4 linked regions of the Astyanax mexicanus genome follow. The protein of the gene in region 4 purifies or fractionates together with the protein of the main gene of each other region. This does not show direct contact. Links are inferred from orthologs where the notes say so. Each region holds a gene or a part of one and is shown on either strand. Other genes may lie near its edges.

What was found.
Region 1: the proteins of mapk6 (region 4) and ube3a purify together in Homo sapiens (affinity purification with mass spectrometry; 3 studies listed by BioGRID and IntAct, with this or other methods). This does not show direct contact. The link is inferred for Astyanax mexicanus from reciprocal best matches to the Homo sapiens genes MAPK6 and UBE3A.
Region 2: the proteins of mapk6 (region 4) and cep170aa purify together in Homo sapiens (affinity purification with mass spectrometry; 3 studies listed by BioGRID and IntAct, with this or other methods). This does not show direct contact. The link is inferred for Astyanax mexicanus from reciprocal best matches to the Homo sapiens genes MAPK6 and CEP170.
Region 3: the proteins of mapk6 (region 4) and neurl4 purify together in Homo sapiens (affinity purification with mass spectrometry; 6 studies listed by BioGRID and IntAct, counting the BioPlex papers as one, with this or other methods). This does not show direct contact. The link is inferred for Astyanax mexicanus from reciprocal best matches to the Homo sapiens genes MAPK6 and NEURL4.

The regions. Positions count from the first base shown.
Region 1 is NC_064412.1:17,792,919-17,800,400, reverse strand, and holds the start of ube3a (ubiquitin-protein ligase E3A), read left to right. Parts: upstream 1-3,958; 5' UTR 3,959-4,109; intron 4,110-6,070; 5' UTR 6,071-6,118; coding exon 6,119-6,120; intron 6,121-7,022; coding exon 7,023-7,336; intron 7,337-7,482. UniProt on the Homo sapiens protein: E3 ubiquitin-protein ligase which accepts ubiquitin from an E2 ubiquitin-conjugating enzyme in the form of a thioester and transfers it to its substrates.
Region 2 is NC_064414.1:22,580,609-22,588,188, forward strand, and holds the start of cep170aa (centrosomal protein of 170 kDa), read right to left. Parts: upstream 3,103-7,580; 5' UTR 2,954-3,102; intron 1-2,953. Other genes in the region: sdccag8 (serologically defined colon cancer antigen 8 homolog), read left to right, coding at 5,266-5,329, 6,342-6,479, 6,977-7,065.
Region 3 is NC_064422.1:43,800,158-43,808,563, forward strand, and holds the start of neurl4 (neuralized-like protein 4), read left to right. Parts: upstream 1-4,953; 5' UTR 4,954-4,980; coding exon 4,981-5,145; intron 5,146-8,406. UniProt on the Homo sapiens protein: Promotes CCP110 ubiquitination and proteasome-dependent degradation. By counteracting accumulation of CP110, maintains normal centriolar homeostasis and preventing formation of ectopic microtubular organizing centers.
Region 4 is NC_064416.1:42,066,713-42,075,003, reverse strand, and holds the start of mapk6 (mitogen-activated protein kinase 6), read left to right. Parts: upstream 1-5,215; 5' UTR 5,216-5,433; intron 5,434-8,291. UniProt on the Homo sapiens protein: Atypical MAPK protein. Phosphorylates microtubule-associated protein 2 (MAP2) and MAPKAPK5.

The sequences.
Region 1 (7,482 bases), on a different chromosome or scaffold from region 4:
GTGTTTTTGTCTTGTTTATGGAGAGTCCAACCTGCCTGTCTGATTGAAAAATACCTTTACTGTTTCTTAGCTCACTGGCTCAAGACTGCAGCCCTGAAGCACAATGTAAGGAATTCTCAGAGGTGTCATTTTAACTTTTTGTTTAATAATATTTTTCTGCTTCATTTGTATGGTTTGGAGGAATAATAATAGTTTTTTTGTTCATTTACAGTCCAGTCAGAATATTATAACCAACTTGTTTCTACACTCATTGTCCTTATAATCATCTCCACCAACCATATAGAAGCACTGATAATTGAAGAACAAAGTGAAATAATAATAATAAAATAATCAAAATAAATTAATCTTCCGCTTAATTTCAATTCACTATTAGAAAGTGTATTTTATGCTATTTTTGGGTTTAATAATAAATGCATTCATTGTTATTGGATGGTACAGCACAATCTGTCTGCTTTGTTTAGTGTAACTGCATCCTGACTGTAATTTTCCATCCTCTACCCCCACAGCACCTGTTCATGTGTTGTGGACAATAAATTCTCACCTTCAATCCAGTTTTACTATGGGTGAAAGAATGGCATTATGTGTCATCTACAGCACTTTCTGCAACAACTGCACTGTTTTATCTCAGTGTGCTGTCTCCATACTGCTGTAAAATTCTTAATAAAATTCTTTTAACTGTGCCCAGTTTCACAACATATGGTCCAGCTGCATGAAATCTTTATTGCTGCAATGTTAAAGAATGCTGCAGGGATGGATTAATAGCGTTTTGAAAGTGAAGGACAGCCACAATGCTTTAATGCGGTCAGCTAAGGCTGCAGGTAATGTCTGAAGAGTCCTCTGCTGAAAGATGATGGTGTGTCCTTCATCTATAACATCTGGTTTGCTCCAACTTAATTTCTTTCTAGCATATTTGTTTTATATAATCATTTACCACAGATTCTGAGTCAATTGCCCAAAGTGCAGCAGTGAAAAACGTTGATGTTATAACCATTAAATACTATCTTATGCATTAAAAGTATCTTAATGTATACCATTAAGATACATAACTTACCTGAACTGCACTTTTACTCTGGGAATATACTGTTATTACTATTATTTTCAGTCTTTTCTAGGGGTACCACCATTTTTGCCCTTGCCAGTTTTATTTGTTTTTTATAGCTTTTTTAAATGATACTGTTGAACCACAATTCACAATTTTTATTTGCTTTGATGTCCTTGGAGATGTATTTGTATTTCTGATTGTGTTATTACTGTGGTAAATCTCAGCACAATGTGACTTCATTGGGATCTATATTAAACCTCAAAAGGAGATATGTGATATTACTGAGCTCTTCCTCTCAGGAGACTCATGCTAAAATAAATTTTTTTGTCTAGAAAAACGTATAGATATATTAAAGAGATCTTTGATGATAGATAGTTGATGTTAAGTATTTTTCTTTTATTATTATTATTATTTTTGCTGGTTTCAGGTTATCTCAGTTACCATTATGAGTTTTTGTCTTTAACAGAAAGGTACCTATAATTTTGTCCAGATGTGCAAATTAAAAAACAGAGCAAGAACAAGAAACAACCCAGGACATCTTCCTATATGAATTGCCATGTCTTCTTAGATTAGAAGGTATTTGTTATTGTTTATTATTACAGTAATATTATATTCTACATTATTTTTTTAATTTTCAATTTTGACATAATTTAAATCTGATCTTTGCACAGTAACACACTACTGACACTATGATTTTATATTTGTTGATTGTTGTTTTGCTGTGTTTCAGAGATCAATGACAAACATCACTATGAACCACTTGCATACTCTGCCTTTAGATCAACAGACACACAAATCACATCACACTCGTATATACTCTTTGTTCGAATGTCAAGCAATGCAGCCTCCAGAGTCCTGCTCAGTGTTATGCAGTGATTCTGTTTGTACTCCCTGTAGTGCAGCTCCCATGAATGCAAGTGAAAGTATGCCATATCATGGTCATCCTCTCTGTGAGCTGTTTTGTGCATTCGCTACTGTGAGCGTCTCCAGGGACCCCGCAGGTTTCAATCTGAAAGAAGGCCTGAGGCTTTGAGGGAATGCATCTCTCACCCACTGGCTTGTGTTTGACATCAAACCTAGCAGTGGGCTCTGAGGGAAAACAGCCGTAGGGATTCTCCTGACTCCTCACTTCACCTGCAAAGCCCCCACTGTCACTAACTTAATCCAATCATATTCTCCTCCAGCTGCTCTCCCTGGAACACACACACACACAGCCCTGACGAACACTGCTGAAGCTCAGGAAAATCAATGCAGTTTTTTTAGGGTTTTAAAATCACTAAATAAAACAGGTTTGTAATAGATACTTGAATTAAAGTTACTAATGCAATGCTGGCATAGTGCAGATTCATAGCTTTCAAATCATTAGCATGAATGTACATATCCAGAATGTCCAGAATTGATGATCATAGCTGAAGATGATACAACACACCGAAAGGTAGTGTTGTCCTGCACCGGCCCATCTGAGGGACTGTTCGAGGCCTGTGGACATAAGGGACTACTGAACTTGGGAAAGAAACTTTTGGGGACTGTGGGGACTTACAAGGATGTTTGCCAGCATTTGGTGGGGAGCTGTGTGGCCACCTTATTCTTTGTTTGTTTTTTTTCTGGGGTTTTATGCTGTTTAAAGGGGTCTATTTATGCATCATATTTGTTAAAACTTAGTTTAGTTGTGGCAATTTTACTGTTGGAGTGTCATTCAACCTTCTAATATTGAGGCAAAAGATGAATAAGAGCCACTATTTACAAGAGGATTACTGCTCATTCATGCACTCTTCTGTTCAACTCTGGTCTGGTCTTGTTACTACATCTACAATATGAAACTCCTTGTTTTGGATTTGACTCTGAATAATATAGCTAAGGGTAAAGTTTGTGCAACAGTTGCACCGTTTGATATCTTCTACTTTTACTTCACCTCATATCCCTTAAGGACTGATGTGTGTGAGTGTGTATATAGTTTAATGAGTCAATGCTGGATTGGGGTTGAACAGCTGTCTACATTTATGAGACTCTATTGTCCACTACAGAATAAACACAAGACCAATCACAAAAAAAAAAAAAAAACATTTTATTTTGATTAGGCATTATAAATTAGCTTAAATCACTACATACTGTGCGCGTGTGTGCCCACTTTTTCTACAACATGATCCCTCCTCCCTTGTGCACTTCTAATAAGAGTCAGATAGCTAGGTTAGCTGATAGCTAGCTAGTTAGCTAGCTGGTTATCATTAGCTTTGGGCTTATAGCTACCTTTAGCTGCCTAGCTAAAACATTCCACACTGAAAACCTCCACTACTCAATATGTGGTGCTCAACAATTAGTATCTGGTGCTTACCACTTGGCATGTGGTGCTCACCACTTTTTTTTACGTTAAAAAAATACATCAGAGTTTCGTGGTTTGGCACTGACAGAGAGAATTTGGCCATTTTTTTTCACATACTCAGCTCAACTGCTCATCTCGATACATGTTCTTTACAAATGTAGCAGAAATAATCTACCCAACACACTTTTTGTGCTCTGTTTCGTAGTAACTAAGGGCTTTGTACAGACTTTAACACACACATTTAAGAAAAAAACATAGAAGGCTATTTAAAATCTGTGCACCCAGCTCTGGTCCTTCACTAAATTATATATTATGGTCTGTTGTTCGGAGCGCGCCATCTGGTGCTGCGTGCTGTTATTACAGGAGCCTCGGAGTAAAGAGGAAAAGTGTGGAAAGACAGTAAAATGAATTAAAATATGAACAGCTATGTTAATGAATAGCCTGTTTAAAGTGTCCGGCGTAGTGCTGCTGCGGCTGTTTAAGGGTTTGTGGTGACACACAGTTCCTGTTCAGAATATGAGCTGTTTCTGTTTATTTCCGCCGCTGTGGCTGCTCGGCTGAACATCGATGGTTTGTTGGTGGTTCCCGGTGCATCTTGGGATACGGACGGTGTTTGCCTCAGCTAACTAGCTATCAAGATGGCCGAGAATGTTTGGTTGAGGAGCTGGAGCTGAATACAAGCAGAACTGGAGCGACTGTGATGTTGAGTGGCAGGATTTACTCGCCCGCGACAGAGCATATTCAGAAGTAAGCTGTCAGCATGTCAGCAGTGCTGTGTGTGAGTTTGTTTTTAGCTGAGGAGCGCTGCCGCGGGGCGGGATTTGGGCTACTGGTCTACCGCTCCGGCGCTGCGGGAGAGAGCGCGGCTTCTGCTGCGGCCTGGGGAGGCGAGCGGGACCCGCGGAGGGGTCGTTTTATCGGGGATTTGTAAAATAGTATTGTCATAAAGTGGGGGAAATTAGAATATAAACTGGTTAGCTTCTAGGAAAGCAGCAGGTTAGGTGAGTTAGTTAGCTAGCTTACTAGCTAGGCAGGCTAGCTGGTGGGCTAGCTAGCTGGCTGGCTAGCTCGGCGCTAGTGGAGCTTTTCCCGGTGACAGTTGCAGCATCAGCAAGGTTACGGGCTGCTGCTGGGCGCTGCATCTGCGCGCCAGCTCTGTTGATTGATACCATGGTTTTGTCAGCATTTAGCTAAGCGAGCTAATCTAGCTGGCTTTAAATAGTAACTACATTTCTCCTCGTTGTTTATGGTGGAAGTTATTAGCTTTAGTTAGCTGAAGGCTCGCGTCGTGTTTGTGCACAGTCATACCCCCCGGCCCCCTGGCGGCCTGGCCAACACCGACTACCAGCTAGCTGAGCCAGCAGGCTAGATATCTAGCTAGCTAACCTTAGTTAGCTGCACTTTCTGTCACTCTATCACTTGTTTTAGCTGGCTAGCAGTATCTAAAACTCGCACCTTATCTGGGTTACGTTCTCTCCTTCTCGTAGCTAAATATCTAGCTAGATATGTTAGCTAGCTAACAGAGTTGTTTTTCCTACAGGCGGGTTTTCTCACAGTACTCCCCTAAACATCACCTGTCAGCTCCTGTAGTTCAGGCTGCAAACAAACATGATCCAACCCATCCAAAACATTATGAAACACAGTAAAAGTTATATACAGCTCTGAATAAAAATTAAGAGACCACTTCATTTTCTGAATCAGTTTCTATGATTTTGCTATTTATAGGTATATTTTTGAGTAAAATGAACATTGTGTTATTCTGTATACTATATAAATATTGTTATTTCTAGCATGTATTAGCAGAAAATGAGAAATGGCTGAAATAACAAAAAAGATGCAGATAAATATGCAAAGAAAACAAGTTCATATTCATAAAGTTTTAAGAGTTCAGAAACCAATACTTGGTGGAATTACCCTGATTTTTAAGCACAGTTTTCATGCATTTTGGCATGTTGTTCTCCACAAGTCTTACACACTGCTTTTGGATAACTTTATGCCATTCCTAGTGCAAAAGTGCATTAATTCAAGCAGTTCAGCTTGGCTTGATGGCTGTGATCATTCATCTTTCTCTTGATTATATTTTATATATATATATATATATATATATATATATATATTTTTTTTTTTTTTTTTATCCAGAGCTGTACATTAAAATTTCAGTTTAGCTGTAATTATATTTTTGTCCTGTAAGTTATCTAATTCACTGCTGTTTTCTGTCTGCTCTATTTAGAGTCTCTATAGCTAGCTAATAAACCTGTTGTTGTAGTTCTTGTTATAAAAATGCATGCAAAAATTTGTGCACCTTAACCCTCTATAACATGATTTTTATCATTGTTAAAAAAATAAATCAGCCCACGTTTATCATTCAAAAAGTCTGCTTTATCATGATTGCCTTGTGATCTAACGGCATATTGTTTCTCTGAGGCAACACATTAAAAATACTTGTTTTAGGAGGTAAGTGAAAACAAGATAGCAACAATAGGCTTTAAAATTGGCTTTTAAGTATATTGGTTTAAATACTAAAAATATATGTTAGGATAGTGTAATAATAAAAAAAAAGTTGTTTGTTGCCTGAGGGGCGACACCATGTCATAGAGGGTTAAGGATGGAAAGCTGTGCTGTTTAGAAAACTGAGTCAGTCCAAAGCCAAACCATCATCTCATTCGTCACCTACAGAACTGTTTCTGACCACATTTTGTTCTCTTTAGAGTTCAGAGCATAGAAGAGTCCAGCGTTGGAAACCTTAAGCAAGTCTAATGTAAGTACATGTGCGTTATCCACTGTTAAAATAGCAAATTTTTACTGCCAGTATAGCAACCTCTCCTTTACCTCATCCACTGCCATTATCACATATTTAATGCCAGTGCTTGTGGAAAAGCTGATTGCTACATCCTTGTTTTGGCTAAAATCAGACTGTGTAGCTGTATAGAGCATGCAGCCCAAATACAGCAAGTTGCACAGTCCCCTTTTTTACAGATTTTGTTTTCCATTTAAAAACATAGCCTAGAAAATGCCTGTCACAATAATTATGTCAGTATTGCATGTTCTGACGAGGAGGCCCAGTTAACATGAATTAGCTGGTATGTCAAAGTTGTTTAAAAGCAGCACATGGTAATGTAAGATTTATTTATTTTAGGTGTTTTAAGAGTCACTTGGCCAGTTTGAATTGCTTTGCATGAAGTTAAGTTAAGTAATCCTTAGGGTGTAATAAACTCACGTAGCATAAGCAGCATAAATATAATCTGTTAATACGTTATGTTATTATTTCTCAATACTTTAGTGGCATGAAATTGTCTTGAAATCCAAATTTATTGTGACAGGCCTAGCCTAGATCATAGCATGAAAGTCATTCTGCATGTGTATTTGCAGCTGAAGTGTCTCTTGCTTATCTGATTTTTGCTCATCTTTATTTAGATGTTTTGCAATTGACAGAATTATGGGCTTAATCTGAGCCATTATTTGCAGGGCATTTGGTGTTTAAGTATTATAACATTTAAATTATAATTGCGAAACTGAAGGGGCTGTAGTGTTTTGGCTCTCTGTAGTTCTTAATTGTGATGTAACACTGAAATTTGCACTACTCTGACTTTAAAATTTAAAAGTAGATTTGTGAATGAACCTTACTAATCCCCTGCTTCCCTGTTTGAATGATTGATGCAGGAAGCGAGCGGCTGCAAAGCATCTAATTGAGCGTTACTACCACCAGTTAACTGAGGGCTGTGGAAATGAGGCCTGCACGAACGAGGCTTGTGGCTCCTCTCCGGGTTTCCGGCGCATGGATAACAATGCAGCGGCCATCAAGGCCCTGGAGCTCTATAAGAATAACGCCAAACTCTGTGATCCTCACCCCTCCAAGAAAGGTGCCAGCTCGGCTTTCCCGGAGAACAGTGCCAAAGGAGCTCACAACTTTTCTGCTTGCAGCAACGGGAAGATGAACCACAAGGATCTGCCTCCCTCAAGGGAAGACTTTAGAGGTATGCATTGCATTTTGTTCCCTTTTTTTGTGGGTGCATTTAATACTTCCTTGTTAAACCGAAAGTGAAAGGCTGATGTTTTTGAAAAACATTTTGACTTCTTGTGTCTACCAGTATCTACTAACTTTGCTTTTGTGATATATTTT
Region 2 (7,580 bases), on a different chromosome or scaffold from region 4:
CTAAATCAAGTAAGGTAGCAGAATCTACTTTCTAACCTTGTTAAAACATCCAGCTCAAGACCAGCTGGTCATCCTGAAAAAAATCCCTTTGCTGGTAGGCTAGCTCATTAACTAGCATTGACGACCAGGATCTTACAATTTTGTGTATAATAATAGGTTTCACTGATATTTTTGACACTATGAACTATGAACATCAGAATCCTGTAGAATGTATAAGTTAGGCTTAGTTACACACATGCTGTACATTTAAACTGCATAGGACTTTAATTATTACATTGTAACAATTATTTTCAGTTAATGGAACAATATTTTTTTCTGCTACTCAGTGATATTAAGCCCATTAATTAAACCTTATTTACACTAATTAACACAGAGAGACAGTTTACTGCAAAATGCTGTTTGAAAGTAGGCTATATTTTCCAAATTGGACTTAACTATAACACTGACAAAATTATTTTCAGTTAATGGAACCATATTTATTTCTGCTAATCAGTGTAATTCAAACATTACAATGATTACATTTTGATTTTGATTACATTGTATTTTGTAGCATCTGACAGCTTCAGGTTTACTGATTACTGATTAACTAGTGTTAGCTTTAAACTAATCATAATATTTCATTTCTGTGGATGTATTTTGGTGTTTGGGGTTCACTAAAACCTCTTTCATAAACACTAATAATTCTAAGCAGAATCCACCAGCAGCTCCTATTATTGTTAGAGTAATGTAATTTAAGTTTAATCTAGCCATTTTGACTATCATAGAAGACAAAGGCCTAAACTCATTTTTCAGAGGCACACTCAAAACAGAGGGCCTGTAGTACCAGGTCTGCCTTGAAGCAAAGATAAATAGGCCACATTTTACAAGCACAACATTTAAAAAATCTAAAACTTGTTGCTAATCTAAATTACAAGGACCCTCATAGTGTCATCTAATAGCCCAATGCTGCGGCCCAGTAAAGCACAGTTTCAGTTTGAGAGAGGAGAGCATCTGGCCATGGGAGAAAGCATGGCTCCTGTCCAAATATTCCAGTTTGAGCAGTAGGAGGGAAAGGAGAAGGTAGTCTGTCCCCCATTGCTTTGCTTTGTTAGACGTGTTAAACGTTGACGTCCTGTAGCTAACTGTTATCAGGTTTATATGTTCCAGTTTTCCGATGTTTCTTACTGTACCTATATTGTTCGTATTATGTTTATTTTTTACCAATACTCTTAGCTTAGCTAGTTAAATATATATGGAGAAATTAATGTGAGCGTAGCTACAGCCTGTCTAGTCTAACTCAAAATAGGTAGAACTGAGAGAAAGGAACTGAAATAAATAAATGTATACAGCACGAGTCCCACCGGGATCCCCCCTTTATCCAGCAGCACTCAGCTAACCTAGCTGTAGCCCTGTGGACATGATCAGCAAAGTCGAACCGGGGTTTGCTTTGTTATCGCCGGTTATAGCTGCGTGTAACCTACAGTGTACTACAGTGTATTAACACTAGTTAGGTTACCGTTTAGTAACATATTAATAACTAAGGGAGCGATGTTGTGTAAAGAGCGGAAGCTATCCAGCGGGTTCACTGAGGCTGAATGGAAATATTCAGGCCAGATGTAGCCAGGCAAAAAGACAGACAGACAGAGAGAGAGAGAGAGAGAGAGAGAGAGAGAGAGAGAGAGAGAGAGAGAGAGAGAGAACACAAAGGGAACTCGACCAATGCTTTAAATTGTGTCCTTTAACACTGGTATTCTTAGGACATCTCTGTAGGGCATGAGCAGCTAATAATATAATACACATTTTAAAAATACGATATCTAGGTTAGGTAGCTATACTTCTTAACGCCCTGTTACCATTAAATGAGAATTCGCATTAACCACATTAAACCTACCCAGCTGACACACAACCGACCTTTAACATTAAAATGTGGTTGAAATATGATTGAAGTAATGTCTGTTGTTGTTTCAACGTTGAAACAACATTTAATGCTAAATGGTTGTGCAAACGTTAACATTTTTTACGTTGAATCAACATAATGTCCTTAACCTTCTGCCTTTTGAATGAACATTTTACATTTCATCACCATACAATTAAAAAACGGTTGGATAGAGGGAGGACAAAGTAGTTTTACTTCCATTTGCAGGAAATTCTTAAAAATTTGGCACCAATTCTTCACCATATCTGGGGGTATATTAATGTTCAGTTTGTTTTACTGTGTTTATTAACACTCTTAACCAAAGTATTTTCTAGTTTAAGTGTGCTATGGTTTATTAAAGGTTAAACGTACAACGTTGAAACAACGTTGCCATATCAACGATAGTTCACTTTTCAAAATCAACACCAAATCCAACGCTGATTCAACCATAACATAAATGTTGATTCAACGTTGAAATGCCAGCTGGGTAGGATTGATGGATGCCTGAATGATACTGAAAGACTGATCTTATAATTTAGCTAGCAATCCATAGTTAAATAAATTACTGAAATCCACTACACATACGTAAACGCGTGTTTTTCATTATTACAAACATATTCCAGATGTTTGAAACGTTTTGCACATATTCAAAACCCACGAATAACGTTACCCACAATCAAATCAGGATCTCTGAGCCATGATGCTGCCACAGCTCTGAAAAACACAGATCTGGCATGCTGATTGCACACGTTGTGATGCTGCTTGAAGTTCTGCCGGCCGAAACGCGTCTCTGCAGCGAATTTTACACCATTAATCTAAAATAGAACTGAATTCATCACATATTGCTCTATGAAGAACATCCGATACGGCCTCGAGTCAGTAACGTTAGCGTTGCTAACCTAGGTTATAGGAAAGGCAAGAAAAACGTTTTTTAGACACGCCAACAATAAGCTAGCGTTAACGTTGCCCTTGCTGCCGATGCACCATTAAACATCCATCCATCATTCCGAAAAATATAACTAGCAATATAATATTGATTGACATATTACTGTTACTCACCCCTTTCTGTTCCCCTTTTTGTGCAAAGATCCAATTCAGAAGCAGCCCAACGGTTTTCAGTGCCCTGCCCAGTATGTGCTCCTACGTCTCAGTTGCTCAGCAATAACGTTATTCCTAACAAATAGCGGCGACCTACGGCAGGCTGGAATCAGGCAGGCAGGACATCATAGCCAGAGCCGGGTTATTAAGAGCCCGCCCACTTTCTATTCTCTCCGTTATTTCAGTCAACGACTGCTAACCTCTAGAGGGAGCGCGTGAGTGAGTCTTTAATAAATGAAGGAGAATGGAGCTAAACGGCTTAAAACTCAAATTAACAATAGAAACGAAATACTTATCCGGATTTTCCTTTAATTCCCTGAAGATTTTTTTTTCTCTGCAAAAACTAGAAAAAGTATCTGTATGTTTCCAATTTTCTACATCAAACAGTTTTTAGGCAGTAAAGATGCTAGCGTTACTGCTAAACAATGCTAAATAGCACATTTAAAAGGCTTATACGCTTTAAAATGATTTCTGTGGCACTGAAACATTTAATATTTTTCCATATTAAAGAAAATAACTACATTTGTCAGGATAAAAATAATAAAATATTTATAAATTTAACATCTTTGATCGCAAGACCCTACAGCCAATAGTGAGGAGAGCTTAGAAGACCAGTCTCTCTGCCCTCTATCACCGACATCTACACCACACGCTGCATTCACAAAGCCACCAGCATTGTGGACGAACACACACATCCCTCATGTGGACTCTTCGAAGATACCGGAGCATCCGTGCCTCCGCTAACAGACTGTGCAACAGCTTCATCCACCAGGCAGTCAGACCTCTCAACACACAGAGACGGAGCTAAACCCGCTCATCACACATCCAACACACTCAAGCCCAATTTATACTTCTGCGTGAAAACTACGCCATAGCCTACGTGTATCCAGGGAGAGTGTGCTATGCGGAGTGCGCTTATACTTCTGCGTGCACATATCAGCAACTCTGTGTTGCTCTGCCCTTAGTCCTTAGCCCTTAGTTAAACCACGAAGGCAGGAATGTGTGGGAGGAGATGCGAGATGTCCTCGTCACACGACGCGTAGTTACATTTGCAGAGAGATGCGAATCGAGCTATGGCGTAGGCAACGCCGTAGGGCACACAGTGAAGCTTAGGCTACGGCGTAGGGTATGGGGTGACGCATAGGCTACACCGTAGGTTCGACTCAAAAGTATAAATTGGCCTTAACACAGAACTAAACTGAACCCCCCCACCTCTCTTCACGCACAAACACACACACACACCGAAATGTCTATATCCCTATTAGCAATATTTGCTGCTTCATTTCACAAAAACTAGAAACTCTCTATCTCAGTTACTGCTGTGATCATGTATGTTCTATATGTTACAGTATGTTACATATCTCAGCATATTATTCTTAGTATTGGTACTGCACTGTCCTGTCTGGTAAACTGTCTGTTGTCTTGTCTTGTCTGTTGTTTTTATTGCATTTATTGTAGTGTTATAGTTTTATGTTACACTTTTGCACTTTATGTTGTCTATTGTTTTGTTGTTCCATTTTGCACCATGGTTCCAGAGTAACATAAATTCAATACACTGTGTACTCAGGTGTGATGACAATTAAAGCCTGTTGACTTGACTTGACATGATAAACTATGATTTTGCCCAATTGCTCCATATAAAACCATATAATTTATGCACATAATCAAAACAAATACATATACAGCGCCCTCTAGTATCTGAATTTAAAAGTGACAAACTGGGGGAATACATTCTCGAGTGGGTCTTCTCCTCGCTACAGGCTCTCTGATATTACAGCAGCGCCAGCGTCTGCAGTTCCAACACAGTCCAGTGGGCGTGGCCTCAGCGATGTTGTCATCGCGCACAAAGACGCGTACCATGTTTTAAAAACTGTATTTTAAATATAGATACGGCGATTTTATTGTAATACATACATGTTTGTGATTTTAGACAATGATTTACGCGAAAATATGATTGCGTTTTTTGTCTTCATCGTTCATTAAAATATTAGCATCTTCCAATGTGTAGTTTTTACCCTCGTTATCCCCGTTCTCAGTATCAGGGAGGAGGTCACCGTGGGACTACAGTTCCCAGCAACCTTTGCGGGGACGTTGACGGAAGTTTGACCTGTGATTCGAGTGTTGACGGTTAGGGACTCAGTCACAGGTTGTAGTTCTGCAGAGCGTTGGGTTATTTTAATAATATTATAGATTTTTTAGACGGGACTGATTAGAGTTTGTAGCAGGTGATTAGGCACACATGTTCTGACGAGCTTCAGTTAATCCAGGCTAAAATGAAGCCGTCGCTGGACTCGGACGAGGAGGAGGAACTGGGAGCTTATCAGAAGAAACTGAGAGGTGATGCTGCTTAACGTTAATTAACTAAAATTAACGTTACGTTGCGTTGAACAGAAAATAAACATGCCCTTAAAATCCCGTGCGGTAGACGTTTTAGACCGTTTTTAATTATTTGCATGTTCGACTGCTAAACTAACTAACCTAGCTTTGCAGAAAAGTAGCGAATTATTAGGTCAAATCTAGTGTTGTGGTTTAATATAACTTAAAATAGTTGTTAAATAAAGTAGTTTTTAAATAAAGGCATTTCATATGCTGCCTCAAATGCCCAGTGAATATACATATGTTCTTTGAGTTAAACCGAAATTTTAAATGAATCTTAATTTTATCTGAATGCTGTCTTTTCTTACAAAATATTGTATATATAAAAATACATAAATATATGCAGTACCGGTTAGAAGTTTGTATACGCCTTCTCATTCAGTGGTCTTATTTTTACTACACTGTGAATAAATACTAAAGTCATCCAGACTATGATGAACACATAAAGAATCATGCAGTAAGAAACAAAGTTGAAAAAAGATTTGAAACTTGAAATATTTTTTTAAAAACTGCTACTGTGGTTTTATTTGTAAAATTGTTTGTTTTTTACTAAAAACAAAGGTACATAGTATGATAACCAACAATTGACACTGTGTTATTCTTACCTGATACGTTTCTCTACAATGCCTGATTTTACACCAAATACACTTGTTTTTTTTTCTTTATTCATTTTTGTCATTAAATAGTCCCAAAATTTATATTGTTTTTATTATTATTTAAGCTGTGTAGGGTGGAGTCAGCTAAAACTCTTTAAACCCCAAATCACCACTGGCATATCAATTATGCATGCTCCCCTGACATTTTCATAGCATAATAAAAAGAGTAGCCGATATGCTTTGTAGCTTTACACAGACTCAGATGTTCGAAACAGTGTAAAGGGTTGCAGTACAAAACTCTGTTGTTGCTTTGTTTCTTGTAATCTTGAGTGTGAGACACTTCAGCAGTTTAATCTGTATTTTATATATTGCCCCAGAGCAAGCCAACCGCAGTATTCAGCAGCTGAGCAGCATGCTGGCAAACCAGAGCTCTGAATCCGAGGCCTTGGAACAGGGAAGCAGTGATAACAGCATGCAGGACAGCTCACAGCAGCATGTGCAGCAGAGTGAAGCAGGTATGCCTCCGATCCATAGACAGTTAATGCGAAATATGATAAAATGTATGTATATCAGAATATACCATAATCAAGCATTTATTTATTTCAGACACATTATTTACACCCATCTTTTCAGCTTTACTGAGCATATAGGACATTTTGTAGAGCTACAATTACAGGTTGTAGTTCTTCTATTTCAGTGATGAGCTTCTGTCTCTGACTTTACATTTACACGCTGGAGCAGCAGGGTAGGACTGTATAATAGATTGGACATTTGTGTGTTTAAAAACTCCAGCAGCACAGCTGTGTCTGATCTACTCCTACCAGCATAACATATATTAACACACCACCACCATGTCAGTGTTAAACAACAGGGTGAAACGAGAAAAATCACGTATGCAGAGAAACAGAGGGCAACATTCTGAAATTATATATATATATATATATATATATATATATAGTTGTCAGTTGTCAGTTATCAGTTGTCAGTTAAGTTCTCTGCTTTTATTTTTCAGCCAATCAGCTGCGTTCTTTGCTTCAGAAACAGCCCCGAGAATCACAAGTTCCGTCTCTTTCTCCTTCAAAAAGGAAATGTGCTCTCAAGGTAGGTTACATGATTTAGGTAATAAAGCATGAACCAAGAAGACTAGTAAGTAATAGCTCTCTTGTAATTTTGCATATTTACACACACACACACACACACACACACACACACACACACACACACACACACACACACATATATATATATATATATATATATATATATATATATATATATATATGTATTGTCTAGGAAAGCACAATACAATTAAATTGTTGTTTCTTAAGGTACATACAATAAATAGGTATGCCTCTTTTACTTTCCAGGAAGAAAAACTGAAAAAATGCATAAAAAACAAACATGTAAATATGCCATTCTAGTGCTAAATGCAAGAGTAAAATGTAAAGAAATATAAAATACCTTATTGTAGTTTTAAATTGGAATCACTTAATCTGCTGAGTTTTAGTAAACTTTTCTTCAGCACTATACAGTATTACCATTAGCCACTAACCGCAGCGCTAGGTCTTTTGCCGTTCAGAGGTGAGTATATTGGTCTACGTAGGACGAACCGTTAG
Region 3 (8,406 bases), on a different chromosome or scaffold from region 4:
CATTGGCGGGCAGTGCCCCCCCACAGAGTCAGCTATGCCCCCCCTGACTGGACTGGAAGCCGTATATGTTTTTTTTTTTTGTTTTGTTTTGTTTTCACCTCTGAGTGAACATCTTTCTATTTTTCCTATCTCAGTTTGTCAGTCATACAATTCAACCAATCAGTGAAGGAAGGCAACGTTCTAGCCAATTACAGTTGGAGGGGGGCGGGTCACTGACTAAAGTTCATACTTGAGAAACAGCTACGCTCACCGTTGTTCGTGTGGCATGGATATTCGGACTTATTTCCAAACAAATAAGAGGACAACAAGTGACACTGGAGTACATGAGAATGGACAGGAAGCAGCACCATTCATTTCAGTTGGAAACGTAAGCGTTGAAGTCAACACTGGAGTAAACACAAACGCCGTCTGCCACTCTACTAAAAGTGGAGTAAACCTCTTTCTGCTCACCACACCTCCTCCCTCACATGCACAAACTTAGGTTTCTTGTTCTGCTCCTTGTACTCCCTAGCTGTTGTAGTTAACCCTCCTAGCATGAATGTTTACTTCAGTCAGTGTTCTGACATCAGTGCTTATGTTTTTCACTGCATGTGTTTTTGCATATATTTGACTTTTAATTTAATTGAATGAACAAAGCACTGCACTATTGTTTTTTGTTTGTTTGTTTGTTTAGATTTTGGGATTTTATTGACAGATTGTTGTTTCTCGGCACTGGAGTCGCCATAGAGCCGCTGTTCAATTTGAAGCAAATAAAAGGCTTTTTGAAAAAAATGTGCCCCCCTGAAAAAATACAATGCCCCCCCTTTAAAATGTTTCTGCAGCCGGGTCTGGCTCGGCTACCCTCCATAGGTGGGAACTGTTTAGGAAGCTGGTGGGTATTCATGGTGAGGAAACGGCCTTTTGTTTTTGCATTGTTTTTCAATTTGTTTTATGATAGGTTTTACAAAACACTGCATACAAAATTTGAAAGAAGGTTCTCCCCTGCGGCTTTCTGGCGCTCAGCTGCTACCTTCTTGAGTTCCTCCATAACCTGCTGTTTCCTAATAACCATGGTCATCCTCATGCTTCTCTCCTTCTCTAGCTGCTCCTTAACCTTAGGCTTTCGCTCCATGGCCGTCTTTTCGCGCTCCGTAAAATCCCTCACCCGCTTCTTAAACCTATACTCCCTCACCAGAAACATGCTCTCCCGCTGCTGATATATCTTCTGCATCCGCTGAACCTCTTTCCTCTGCTCCCTAACCATCGCCTCCTTTTCCTTAACCTTGCTTTCAGCTTTTTCAATCACCTCCTCCCTCTTCTTAATCATCTGCCTGCGCTCGACATCCTCCTGCCTCCGCTCCCTGAACAGCAGATCCTGCTTCCTTAATTCCCGCTCCATCCCAACAACCCTCTGCCTCATCTCCTTAACACTCCTCCTAGGCCTCTTTCTGAAGAATTCTCTCACCTCTTTTAACCACTTGCTCAACTTTTTTAAAAGCCCTGTTCGCTCCTCTCTCTTCTGTTTCGACTCTTCCCGCTTAAGCCGTTCTAGGCCTTCAAGCAGCTCCTCACTCTCCCTGGCCATCCTGTCCTCCTGCTCCTGCAGCAGGATGCCTTTTTTTATCAACTCCATCTCCATGCGAAATTCATTCGCCTCTCTGTTAGATGCGCCAGTCTGCAGGAATGTCTTTTGCACCATGTCGCCCTGAATTGACAATGACGTCACGTCAGAAGAGTGCCCGCTCTGCGTTCTTCATTTATATACCCTTGGTTCGATGACGTCACTGCGCCGCCTCAAGGCAGCTAGAGTGCAACACGGCAGGTACGTCATAGACCGACGTAAGTCAGCGGTACCTGACGGACAATATCTAGCACGGCGTCATATGACATATGACGTCATATGACGCTGCCATATTGGATGGGTCTTCTCACTCTAGGTTAGCGCCACAACTTTATAAGTGAGGAGTTGGGAAAAAAGCTTGACTTCCATATAAACCAAGTAAACTCATAATACAACTTTGAATATATCTATATATATAATTGATTCATCTATACACTTATTTATGCACGTATTAATATGTCTGTCTTTGTTAAAGGGCCTAATACAAAGTATTTATTTCAGCATGAAAGCACGCATTTGTAATGTGTGACAGTTTCCTGTATCATTACTACATCTCTACAGCCGTTTGTTACAAACCAAAGCGTGTGAAACTCGGGTACAAATTATAAGAGTTGTGATTATTATAGTTGTATTAAACACCTTTCTCAGAACAAATAAATGCACTTGGGGCGGTTGGGAGACCCATCCAATATGGCGGCCACGCTGACACGCCATGAGGCAGGCTATGAGGCGTCTATACATATGATGTCTATGAGCCAGAGTTCAATAATTTAATATAAATGTTAAGTTACGTTAACACTGTTTGTCAGATTTAATAAAAAGGTATTATTTCAAGGGAACTTACTAACTAGTTTTTATTAATTAAAAAACTAAATTTATTTATTTAATAAATTTCAGATATTCAGATAGTCCTCTTTTCAAATCAGGTAAACAATAACAGTGATGTCTGTATGCCTGTCTTTGTCAAAGAGCCTAATACAAAGTATTTCAGCATGAAAGCACGTATTTGTATTGTGTGATAGTTTACTGTATCATTACTACATCTCTGCTGTTTGTAACAAACTAAACCGTGTGAAAATCGAGTGGAAATTGGGAAAGTTGTTATTATTATAGTTTTATTAAACACCTTTTTCAGTACAAATAAATGCACTTGGGGCGGATGGGAGACTAAATGTAAGCTCCAATAGGGGACGTACCTGGCCTCTCTTACCTGCTTGGGCAACATCAACAGCAGCAGCAGTAAGCAAAGTAACCAAAATCGACTGTGGAAGAACATAAAGAGAGTTGGTGGAATATATCTGTCTTGTGCATATATACTCCACCCATGTGACGTCAAACCATCTGCATCTTAGCGCTACAGAGGTACACCCCTCGGCCCAATCAGCTCTCCCTTCTTTCCCACCCCTAAACCCATTGGCACCTCCTAAACTACTACTCTCATTTTTTTAAATATTTTTTTTTAGGTTTGAGCTGAGGGTGGAGTGATTTAAAATCAGGGGGTTTAGTTTCCACTTCATCAAAAAGGATGCACAATCCCCACAGGCTAACGAACACTACAAATCACACAGTTGAGCTGCTTCTGAATGCTGCTCAGCAACTGGTTTGTGCAAAAAGAAGGATTCCTTTTAATAAAAAGATCAAAATTCAGTGAAAATAATAGAAATGTGGGCTTTTACAGGGCTTTTATTTTTTAATAACACACAAGAATGTCTCAATGTTAACTGGCCTGTGCAAACAAGATGATTCAATTTAATTACAGTCTTAGAATAAAATAAAATAAAATAAAATAAAGAATGTGACCATTGTAAGTGATTTCATTTTGAAATGCTTCAAGGGCATTGTGTGTTTTATAACGAAGATTTACAACCTTTGTTGACCTTTTTTTAAAATGAATATTAAGCATTATTTCTAAAGATATACAGTATTCATTTCAGTTCACAGTCGCCTCTCTGTGACAACATTTGGCAGCACACCCTCCCTGCCAGCGCTGGTTCTCTGTTGTAAACACGCCCCTTACCCTAGTGATGGGAATTCCAGCTCTTTTTAGAGAGTCTGTTCTTTTGGCTCGGCTCACTAAAAAGAGCTGACTCTTTCAGCTCCACTTTTTTTGTTGCCTTTTCTAATTCATTGTGTTTTCTTTCTTTTTAAGACTATATTAAAGCTGTACAGGAACACGTGGAATTATGTAATAAAAACTGTTAAACAAACCATAATATGTTTTATACTTTAGATTATTCTAAGTAGCACATTAATCTTTGAGGACAGATCTGCACACTCTTGGTATTTTTATCTCAGTGTGGTAGAGGTGAGGTAGAGTCACCTGGAATAGTTTTCTCAGCATCTTGAAGTTCCTGGAGGTGCTGAACAATAGTTGCTGCATCCCAAACCACCTCAGTTGATCAGGCTTTGGATCTACAACCAAATAACTATAAAACTGAAACATAGCACAACAAATAAGAACATTTGTGTTTAGTTAGCTTATGTTTAGTATTTTAGACAATCTCAATAACCAATGCTTAAATAACTGTGGCTCCATATACCCTGTGTGGACTGCAGTAGGTGAATAAAAATATTAGCTATATATTTCCTTAACTATGATTAATTACAAATGTGTTGTCTTTAAAGGTGTGAAAATATTAACATTAATTACTCGGTAGGAAGAAGTATAGATACTTGGGTTTAAAATACTTCTGTAGAATGTGGAGCCTCAACCCAAGCTTTTTACTCAAGTTCAAATGTAAAAGTTCTGGTTTCAAAACTACTTAAAATATAATGTAAAAAAGCTGAAAAACAAGCTAAAACAAAATAGGAGTAACAAGGCTATTTTTAAAATGTAAGGAGTAGAAAGTTCAGATAATTGAGTGAAAATGTAAGGAGTAGAAGTAAAAAGTGAAGTATAGATAAGGTAATAAGAAGGTATTTACACTTCATTACTTGACATCTTTTATGATTAATGACAAATTTGTTGACTGTAAAAGGCTTTATGATGGCATGGACAGTATTTTAGCCAGTCATGCTTAATGACCAATCAGTGCTTTAATAACTCTGATTTAGTGACTTCATAAACACAGTGTGGAATTCTGCAGTAGGTGAAGAAAAAAGTATTTATTTTACAAACTATGATTAATTTCGAATTTTGTTGTCTTTAGAAGGGTATAATTGCTTTATTGTGCTATTCTATTAACAATATGTCAGTGGTATTTATATGGTCTTAAAATGACAATAATATCGTTTATCGCAATATTTTCTGATATATCGTGAGAGACCTAATCGGTGCAGAATCAGAAGTCGATTCCCCCGTGGTTCAATTCAAAGAGCCGGTTCTTAGAGCCGGATCGTTCGCGACCGCCCCATCAGTACTGGGCCGCCCCAGCGCGATCATGGCGGCGGAGCTGCATCCGCGCAGCGGGAAGCTCATCGGTCTGTCCAACTCGAACCGGACCGCGCAGCGGAACCAGCCCGTGCAGGAGTTTAACCACGGCCTGGTGCTCAGCCGGGAGCCGCTGCGGGACCGGGACGTCTTCACAGTTCGGATTGACAAGAAGGTAAATCGCTGTGCGGGAGAGAAAAACGGGGCGGCTGGAGTTGGCTGCTTAGCTCTAGCGGAGTTGTCCGGTCCACCTTAAATATTGCAGTAGTCGCAGCCCGGCGCCAGCGCTGTTGCTAGGCTGTAAGCAGTGCGAAATTTAAGGTGGAACGGAAAATTGGTATTTGGTCACCGATGAGCAGCGAAATGTGCTTAGTTGATGATGCGCTTTAACACGCATATGATTGATTTGTGCTCGAAAATTCAGATATTACAGCTGCATTTCTTATTTCAGTGCTTTATTTTAAGGTAAAGAGGTTATATTATCATGTATTAGCTATGTTAGTTAGCTAGCTAACTTGCTAGCTATCTGTTAGCTGCTGCTGCTCGATCAGATAGCTAGCTTAGCTTAGCTTAGCTAGATCTAGCACAGCCTAATTAGTTAGCAGGCTGGGTTAGCTAGCTAACTAACTAGTTAATTAACCTTTACTAGTTAACAATTTAGCTGATGAATACAATATTTAAAGCTTATTTACATACTCGGTTATTGATAAATACACACTTTTTAAAGTAACAGGAGATTAACTGGCTGTCCTTACTCTATGTTTATGTCTATTTTAGCTGGATGCTAAAAAGCTAGGCTACGCTAAGCTAAGCTAAGTAGCTATCTAACGCTAACAGTCTCACTGACAGCCGAGCAGTGGCAGCTTATAAATAATAAACACAGAATAACAGCTCTCGGATCTGGGTAATACTGTACATTAAGGCTCACAAAAAATAATAGGAAAATCACGCTAATAAACACTGTTACGTGGTTCAGTAATGCCTCAGCTATTTATTAACTGACATTAATTAAGACATAAGACAGGATTCAGGATTCAAACAGTTTATTGCCACAGTAAGGAAACAAATTTCCTTGTACAATAAAATTCTTTCTTTGCTTTTCCCCAAGTATACCTCATAAATAGAAAAATGAAAAATACAATAAAAGAAATAATATACTAACTAAATATTCACAAATTTTAAATTGTTGTTAAATTTACATCAATAATTTTATACTGTATTTTACAGACACGGATATATATAAGGTGCAATATCAATAAAAGTCTATTTTTATACATAAGGTGCACGGGATTATAAGGCGCATTGTATGTGACACTAGTAAGGAACAAGGGTTTCACCATGTTTCCCTTCTAAATTCACATAATTAAACAAGTGCTGGGTGCTAATCTACATAGATGTCTCTCCTGAAACATCTCCTGTTTATTTGTGTGAGTTAAGCACTAACATTTATTTACAGTAAGCTATTTTAGCATTAAAATATGTTAGTGGCACTTAGCGCTAGTAAATGCCACCTGAGAACGCTACACTGAGGAACCCTGAGCGTTTTGGAAACCCAGGGCGCTATCAGCCAGCGGGTCGTCCCGCGTAGCTAGTAGCTGTAACACGGTAAACACGCAAACTACAGTCCAATATACTTGGCTGCTAATGCAAATGCTGCTCCAGCCTTGGTGCTGGAGAAACTTTGCTCAAGACGTACCCTTTTATAATGCTATACTTCAGCAGAGTGACTTTACTGCTCCTTAATACCTGACTGGTAAAATTCATACATAAGGAGCACCGGATTAGAAGGCTCACTGTCAATTTTGGGGAAAATTAAAGGATTTTAGGTGCATCTATAGTTGGAAAACTATGGTACAAGGAAGAACATTACTATCTACAGCAGTGAGATGTGACAAAAGTGCAAAAGGTTCAGTAGAGCAATTGTAAACATTGTTACAGTGAAGTGTAGAGAGTGAGGTGCAGGGTTATTTTGTCTGAAGTAGGTTCAAGAATCCGATGGCAGTGGGGAAGAACCTGCAGGCTTGTATGTTACAAAATGTTAATGCTTTAAAATGCTGTAAATAATATTGAATCTTAACTGGAGGACTAAACTAGGACTGGAGTATTTTCTGGATGCAGCACAATGTTATTGTCTCGTATGATGAGTAAGCTAGCATTAAGAAAGTGGATTTATTTTATTTTTATGGATTTTAAACTCTTTCAAAGCGCTCAGTTAATGGCTTCCTGTAAACTGCCAGGTCCTGGATATTATGAGTAAATGCACAAAATCAAATTGCAAAAGTTTAAAACTAACATTTATGGGCATTACATCATAGATATACAGATCCTATTCTGGTCATTATGATAGTATGATACACTGGTTGAACATCTAAGCTTAATTTGAACTAGTTCTCCTTGAAATAATTGAAAGTCTGTACAATCCAAGCTGTTATAAAAATCACGTCTAAACATCTCAAATGTCCATTCAAGATAACTGTGATGCAATTTTCAGCATGAAGCACTAAGAATACATTTAAACAGCAGATGTTTATTTAGGGCTGTTTACACTGTTTTTAGTGTGACCTCTATCTGACATTTGTCTGAACAGTCTTTTCTGTGCTAAAGAACAGCGCTTCACATGAAGTTTCAGTTTCATCTTCTCCAGCGTTACAAGGCAAAGTTCAGCCTGCAGCTGGTTTTATAACCAGGAATACAAGCTCTTTGTGGAAAAAAGGGTTGCTGCTATTTAGCTAAGGATACTGCTTTAGTTTGTGTTCTGTACTTTTTATAAGCTCTTTATTGTCCTTTGACACTACAGCAATAACAGTTTAACTAGAAACACAGGTCACTTGCTTTTATTATATCACCAATGAAACCTTCACTCTGACACTTTTGTGCATTTTCCTCATTTTCTTGCATAATTTTTCACTTTTCTCCAATGAATTTTGTAAACTCTTCTAATAAATGCATGTAACTGCTTGTTGTTTCACCAATTGTTGACACAGATGTTCAGATGCACATATAAATATATTGCCTGGTCCAGTTGATTTGAGAATTGAGAGTTTCCAGTCTCTTAAAAGCCTTTTACCTGATATAAAAGTTGCATGAATCTGAATGAATCTGGCTGTGACATTGCTGGAAATCCGACATATATCAGATTTCAACTGCATATTAAAGTTGCCCAAATCAGGATTGAAAATATATAGTTTCATGTTTACATTAAGACATATATATTTTTTACCTGCTGTGTGAACATAGCCTAAGGGTTTGTCTCAGAGCATCCTAGTCTTTTTGTGTTCCTCAAAGAGAGAGAATTCTGAGAATGAGAATTATGACAGCTCCTCAGTTTAAAGTCTTCACTGAGCGCTGTCGGTTTACAGAGCTTGGCCTTCTCTTTTTAATACTCTACCTGGTTGATTTTAAATAGAATGGGAGAGACAGTGAGTCTGCTGTAGAC
Region 4 (8,291 bases):
AGTGATAAAACAGAGCGGGTACATGAGAGAGAGAGAGACTGTAAACTCAGGAAAGGGAAATGCTTTGTTAAGTGAGGTAAACCAGACAATACTCTGTTTGGTTTATGTGTGCAATGAAGGTGTATATATATATACTGAGGTAAACAGATGAATTCAATATTCAGGTGATTAACTTTCTGATGACTTTCCTGCAGTGCCATGTGACTGTGTGAGGGAGTGATGTTAGTGTGAGGTGCATTCTGGGAATCGTAGTCCGAGACTTGGGGATCGAGTGTGGGAGAGACAGGAGCACCTTTGGCACCAGGTGTGACACTGAGGTTCTAATCCATTTAACCAGAAGTTCTAACGCAAATCATACATGCCCTCCTTCTTGTCGTCATGCAAAATAAGGTGGATACTGTCTGGAACCTCCAGGCACACATGGCAATAACATAATTGCATAATTGGGATGCTATTTTCGTGATCTGTAAGCGAGCCATCAACCATGAACAATGCAGATTGATTGATGGTGTGTCAGTGTACCTTTGCTATCATAACGACGGGAAAAGTAAGCCTTACATGGCTCGTAACGTGCAATAGACTTGTAATAATCCTTTTAATTAATCATGGGTGTGTTTTGGACGTAACGTGAAAAGAAACAATCAGTGTTTCTTTTTTTATTCCCTTCTAGAGTCAGGTGTGCTCTGACTTTGGCGGATTTATGTCTTAATGGCGCTTCCTAGCCAAAGAACCTGACCTGCTCATTCACTCTGTGAAGGTGTGTGAGCAGGTCATTTACAGGAAAAGCAATGTTATTTAATTTTGTATTCATTCATTGTTGAAGTAAAAGTTTGTCAATTGCCAAGATAGCAATACCCCAGAAATTTACCTGAACCTTTTCTAGACTACCAGACTAAATATATTCGTAAGATCCATTGCTATTTAAAATGACACAGCCACAGGGCATGAAAATAGACTGTTTGCAGGGTGTGAGATAGCAATGAGCATTGCGACTCTCATTGCGCAGGGTCTGGACCCTTGTTTGGTCTGAACCTTCAGACTTTACAGTTTGGTCCAGCTAAAATAGCAGGTGTGAAAGGTGCCACAAACCACAATCCAGACCAAAACCAGACTTCTCTTTGTGTGCATCACACAGCAGTATGGGTACAACATATTACACTGGTGATTCTGTATCTACTGTAACTGTAGATTCATCCTTCAAGGGCAACTCCCCAAATGGACGAATGTGCAATAAAAAAACATGTATCTTTAAAACAGCAACATTACCAGAGAGAGTTAAAACCTTTCAATTGAAATCAATGAAAAAAGAGTTTATTTTAGTTTTTTTAGTTTAGTTTTAGTTTAGAAGATTTATTCATTTCATTATAAACAAAATACATTTTAAAGAAGAAAAAATATATACAAATCACAAATAAAATGAAAGGCAGCAGAAAGAAGAAGAAATCTTATAATATCTGCCCCTTTTATCCCAAAAATAATTAAGAACAATAGTAAATTTCCAAAAAAACAAACAAAAAAAAAACTAGACAAAAAACATCAAATCCTTCTCCAACAACATTTGATATAGTTGCACATTATACTATTTCATATTTTTTATACAGATCAGCTTTTATCCTTTTTTAAACACACACATTGATCTAGCATTTTTAACATCACTCTTCTAATTATTCCATAATCTTATTCCTTGAATTACAGTACACCGCTCCTTCAGACTAGTTCCAAATTTAGGTTTTACAAACATCTCTATCCCCTTATAGATTATAACAACTTTTTCTCTTCACAAAATTAAATAGGATGTTTGAACTTAATGTTTTTTTATGAGCCTTATACATAAATAATAAAATATAAAAGTCAACTAAATCATAAAATATCAGTAATTTTAACTGATAAAACAATGTATTTGATGGATGACTGTAATGTTTTCTGGTGATAATTCTTACAGCCCTTTTCTGTAGAATAAGAATAGAATTTGTATTTGTTTTACACGGTTTTCCCCAGACTTCAATACAGTAGATTAAGTGTGGAACAATTATAGCATTATACAATATATACAGAGCTATATTTTACATATTTGTTTAGAATATTTCTTGGTTTATTCTTCAGGATATTATAACAAACGTCAGAAACAGTTTGTGTGTTTAAATTTGACAGCATTGATATAAACCAATCAATGCCAAGTACTTAAAGATAAAAACATTAAAAAACAATATTAAACCTGTTAACAAAACTCAAACTTGCCTTAACTTTCCCTTTGGGACCAACAAAGTCTATCTATCTATCTGTCCGCTCATCCATATATCCATCCATCCATATATCCATCCATCCATATATCCATCTGTCATGCACGTTTAATAGAGCCCCATGGGCAGGTGCTGATACAATATACCCCGGTGGATTAAAACTGTAATTTATTACAAAATATACTATTTATATAAACCTGCAACAAAGAACTGTCGATTCTAATCTGTGTATTTTCCATTGCTCTTGTGTACACACACATATGCATGCACACACCAACACACCAACACACACACCAACACACACACACATATGATCATGTGTTTTACACATTCCTTGCAGCTGCTGCTGAGCAACAGCAGAGAGGAAAAGACGGTAGTAGTGACATCACACACACACACAAACACACACACAGACTGAGATGACCTTAGCATATGTAACGACATACAAAACCTTCCAATTATAACTGAGGACCCGCGTAAACATCCCAACCTGCCAAGAGCGTAAAACAAACACACACACACACACACACACACACGCAAGCAAAGTGGAGCAACACACTGAACGACGCACAGCAGCAGCAGAACATGATGCAGAAACAAATCGTATTGTTTCAGGATTTCAAATGATTAAAATTATTAATCATGATTAATCACATTATTCAGTGTAGTTAATCGTGATTAATAGCATTTGTATCATGGTATTTGCCCAAAATTGACCCCAAATAAAGCTATTGTTCCATTTGAAAGCAGTGCATTGTTATAAGAAATTACTTATCATTTAATAGAATTATAATGAGGACAGGGTTTGAACATGAAACTCACGTGATCTCTACAGAATGAGCGCAGTTTTCCAGTGAGAATGGTCATGGGTCATGGATTCACTTGGGTCTATTCTTATTTGGAACGTGACACAAGTTACAGGATTATTATTTACTGTATGAATTCATGCAGTATCAAGAATATGAACGTAATCACAGTGTGGCTTATGACTAAAACAGATCTGACCATAGCAAAACAACTATGCAAAGAAAGCCAGAAGTTAACATAGACACGAGAGCACCCTGAAAGCCCTGAGTGATCATGTGATCAAGCAGCAGGATAACAGCACTAACATTTCAGTTTATATTTTATGTGTTTCTGTTTTTATTATCATCCACTGCCCTGTCCACTGTGAGTAGTAATGCCTTTTTAATGATGTATTCCCAATACACCCATTAAACTGTAGATCGTGGAATGTTAAATGTTCGCACAACTTCCAAAAAAGAACGTCCAGAACATCAATCTGGCAACTCTGATGATTCATGTCACCTTGCCATGAGCATGCTGGTCGATGTTCAGCTTCACTCACAGGATAACACCTTATAGAACTTCTACAGGTGTCGTCATTCCCATTATAAATAAATATAGCACTTTTAGCTGATGCTCTTAACAGGCTTACAATGCTACTGATAGGGGCATAGAGTTGTCCAGGCAAAGAAATCACTATTTTACACCATAAACAAGCTCAAAGTAGCTCCACACTTCATTAGTAGAATTCTGAGGGCCCTCAAATTTTAAAACAAGGCAACGAGAGCTTTAAAAGTGCACTGTTTATACACACAATACCTTCAGGTAGCTTGAAATTAAGTCACGATAAGTCAACTGACAAGTACAAATTAAAAAGTAGAAAATTAATTCAGTGGAAATGCAAGAATTCCAGTTGTTTCTGTCTGTTTTTAATAAACTATCTGTGCACTTTTAAAGTTTTCAGTGCCTCGTTTTACATAACAGGGCCCTCAGAATTCTACCAATAAAGTGCAGAGCTACTTTGAGCTTGTTAATGGTGTAAAATAGTGATTTCTTTGCCTGGGTAAAGTTATGCCCCTATCACTAGCATTGTAAGCCTGTTGGGGGCATCAGCTAAAAGTGCTGTATTCAACAAAATGTTGTACTTGTTATCATGTTTCACTACGACCCAATTTTGTTTTACACTGGGGTTCTCCTTTAAGGGTTTAAAATCTGACACTACCATGTACCAAGCTCTTATTAATCAGTTATTAAAACAGATAAATACCATTCTAGAGCATTCCACTTTAAAGACAGTCTTCTATTAGAGCGACATACAGCAGAGCATGAGCAGCGACAGGGTAGAAAGAGTTAATCAGAAGAATAATGTGTTTCAGAGCTGCCGAGATTATTTTGCAGGGTTTTTTTCTGCACAAGAACAGCTTAATGAGCTCAGATCAGCCCAGATCACACACACACACACACACACGTACAGAGAGAGAGAGAGAGAGAGAGAGAAAGGGAGTTAGTTTGAGAGTTTATGTGACCGACAGACAGAGGGCATGAATTTTGTCTGTGTGTGTATGAAAGAGAGAAAGAGTATTGTTTTTTTGTTACATTTTAAACTTTGTGTTTTAAATGATTTTTTCATTGGTTTATTAGTTTATCTTTTTCTTATTACTTTATTTATTTATGTACATATATTTATGTATTTATTTATTTTTATTCTAATGTTTTATATTTTAATTCTTATGTTCTTAGTTCATTATTATTATAATTAAGTTTTTCATTTCTTACCATTCTTATCTTTTTACTTTACTTTTACTATTATCTTTTTATTTATTTTATGTTTTATAAATTCCTTACTTTTTATGTGTCAATTTGTTTTTTTTATTAGAATCTTTTAGAATGTTCTATTTTACATATATATTTTATTCATAATGATTTAAAATTAGTATTTTTTTTTTTTTTTACTATTTTATTCCTTATTATTTCTAATTTCTTATTAAATGTTTTCAATCCTATAATGTTTCGATTAAAATGAGAATGTGTGTGAGGGATTGATTTTGTGTGTGTGTGTGTGTGTGTGTGTGTGTGTGTCTGATAAGGTCTGTAATAGGCCAGTATGTGACAGGCAGGTCCAAAACAGAGGTGAAGCCCCGCCCCTTTTGTCCCTGGCCTATATTTAACCCAGCATGAAGCTCAGTTACTGCAGTTTACTGCACATGGTCAGACACACACTCTCTCACACACACTGGACCTCTAATTCTCTTCCTGACCTCTAACCTGCTGCTGAACACTCCGACTGAGCACCTCACTGGATATAACTGAGCACTGTGGAGCCTGTTTTTCTGCACTTTTATATGGATTAATAACTGAGAGTTTGGGAAAATGTTGCTGCAGGACACCCCGGGCTCTCTTCTGCATGGTGAGTCTGTGTCTCTCTCTCTCTCTCTCTCTCTCTCTCTTTCTGCTTTAGTGAAGAGTGATGAAAAGATACAGACAAGTGTTTCATAAGAGAGCGCAGAACAAGAACAGCCCAAAGGAACCTCACACACACACACACACACACACACACACACACACACACACACACACACACACACAGAAACACAGACACTTGCGCTCAACTGGACAGACTCAGATTCAACTGCATTCAACTGCACTGTAATAACCAACTGTTGCCAAAGCTGCAGTAATTATTCAATGAGTAACATTTTAACAGTAATAAACATTTTCACTGCAAAAGTGATACAAAAAAAGCATTTATATTATATATTTAAATATACACATTTTATACTGCATACTCTGCGTGACACATTGGAATATATTGAATGTCTCTTAAAGTCTCAGCAGCGTCCCAAATCCTAGGCTGCTGCCAAGATGGGCTGCATTCCAATATGAGTGACCCTTTCATTAATATATATAGCCTAAAAATGCGCTTGACATTCTGAGCAATTTTGGGGACGCAGCTAATGTATCCTTCATGGTTCTCGACTACCCACAATTTCTTTGCACTCGTACAACATATAGGTAATGGCCAAATGACCAAAAGTTTAGTTTTTATAATTATAACTTATTTACGAGATGAAAAAGCTTTTCACACACAAAGATCACCGCAAATATTGAAGGCTCTTCCATATGTGTGATTTTAATGGGTTACTGAGAAAAAAGTTCATAGGGCAGTTTTGTAGTAGACCCCGTCATTCCTACTGAACTGTAGCCTTTGTAGACTTTGGAACGCAAACTACAGTCTCTTTCTATCTCTTTCCCTCTTTCACACACACTTTTAGTCTCTCTTACATTATAATCTCTGTTTCACTTGGTCTTTTACACACATTTCTTACATTTAGTCTATTTGTGAAATGTATACATAGAAGCTATTTCCCAGAATAAGAAGATTAAGCCTAGTTTTGTACAGTTTTTTTGAATGGAGATATTCAGTTGAAAGGAAATATATATTCTACCACCAGGCTTAATCCCTGTCTGGGAACCAACCTATAGTCTAACTCTCACATGTCTTTCCTACACAGTCTCACTCTCTCTTACATATATTTCTCTTCTACTTTTAGTCGTAGTTTGGACATCCAACAGTACAACAGTAGCCACAATATGGTCTCTTAAAAATATTTCTATAATAAAATAAGTCTTTCTAAAAGTGTTTCTAAAATAAGTCTCTCTTTCATGTTTAGTCTCATATATAGTCTTTCTCTCGCATACGTTACTCGTCACTCTCACACAAATCTCTCTAAAAGATTGTCTTTTGCAGCTGTCCAATGAAAAATCACCATTGTTTTAACTTTTGCAAGGCAAGGCAAGTTTATTCATATAGCACCTTTCATACACATCATCAAGTTCGCTGATGACACAACTGTAGTTGGCCTCATCAGCAAGAACGACGAGTCAGCATACAGAGAGGAGGTGCAGTGGCTGACGGACTGGTGCAGAACCAACAACCTATCTCTTAATGTGGATAAAACCAAGGAGATGGTTGTTGACTTCAGGAGAGCTCCAGGTGTCTACCACCCGCTGAACATCAACGGCTCTGCTGTGGAAATTTCTGAACTGAACTTCTCTGCAATGTGAACACCGAGGAACTTGGTGTTATCCACAATTGTGGATAACACCAAGTTCCTCTGTGTTCACATTGCAGAGAACCTCACCTGGTCCCTCAACACCAGCTCCATAACCAAGAAAGCCCAGCAGCGCCTCTACTTCCTGCGGAGACTGAGGAAAGCACATCTCCCACCCCCCATCCTCACCATGTTCTACAGAGGGACTGTAGAAAGCATCCTGAGCACCTGCATTACCATCTGGTTTGGGAATTGCAACACCTCAGACCGCAAGACCCTACAGCAGATAGTGCGGACAGCTGAGAAAATCATCGGAGTCTCTCTTCCCTCCATCACCGAGATCTACACCACACGCTGCATCCGCAAAGCCACCAGCATTGTGGACGACCCCACCCATCCCTCACACGGACTCTTCGCTCTGATGCCGTCCGGCAGAAGATACAGGAGCATCCGAGCCTCCACTACTAGACTCTGCAACAGCTTCATCCACCAGGCAGTCAGACTTCTCAACGCACAGAGACAGAACTGAACTCCCACCCCACCCACCACTCACCCAACACACTCGCACAAAACTAAACTGTACACCCCCCCCCCTTTACACTCACAAAGAACTGAACTTCACCCACACACACACCCAGTCAGCACACAGAGGCTGACATGACTTTTTTTGCTGCACTCTTAAAAACTATAAACTCTACCTCAGTAACTGCTGTGATTATATATGTTACAGTATGTCACACATCTCTGCACCTTATCCACACTATACACTTATTATACCGTATCGGTACTGCACTGTCCTGTCTTTAAATTGTCTCGTCTTTTGTATTTATTGTATTTATTGTTATTTAGTGTTATAATTTTATACTTTTATGTTGCACTGTCGTCACTCCTGCACTTTATGTTGTCTATTGCTTGTTGTTCTATGTTGCACCATGGTTCCGGAGGAACGTAATTTCATCACACTGTGTACCTGTACTCAGTGTAATGACAATAAAAGCCTCTTGACTTGACTTGACTTGACTCATTCAAAGTGCTGTACAAATTAGAAAATACAAAGATAAATCAAATTAAAAACATGTAATAGAATAACAATTAAAATGAAAATAAAAATAACATATAAATGAAGCATAACTGATTCAAACATGATTAAAAGAAAAGAAAAATCAAATAAAAACCTGTACAAGAACAACAATGAATTGGAAATAAAAATCAA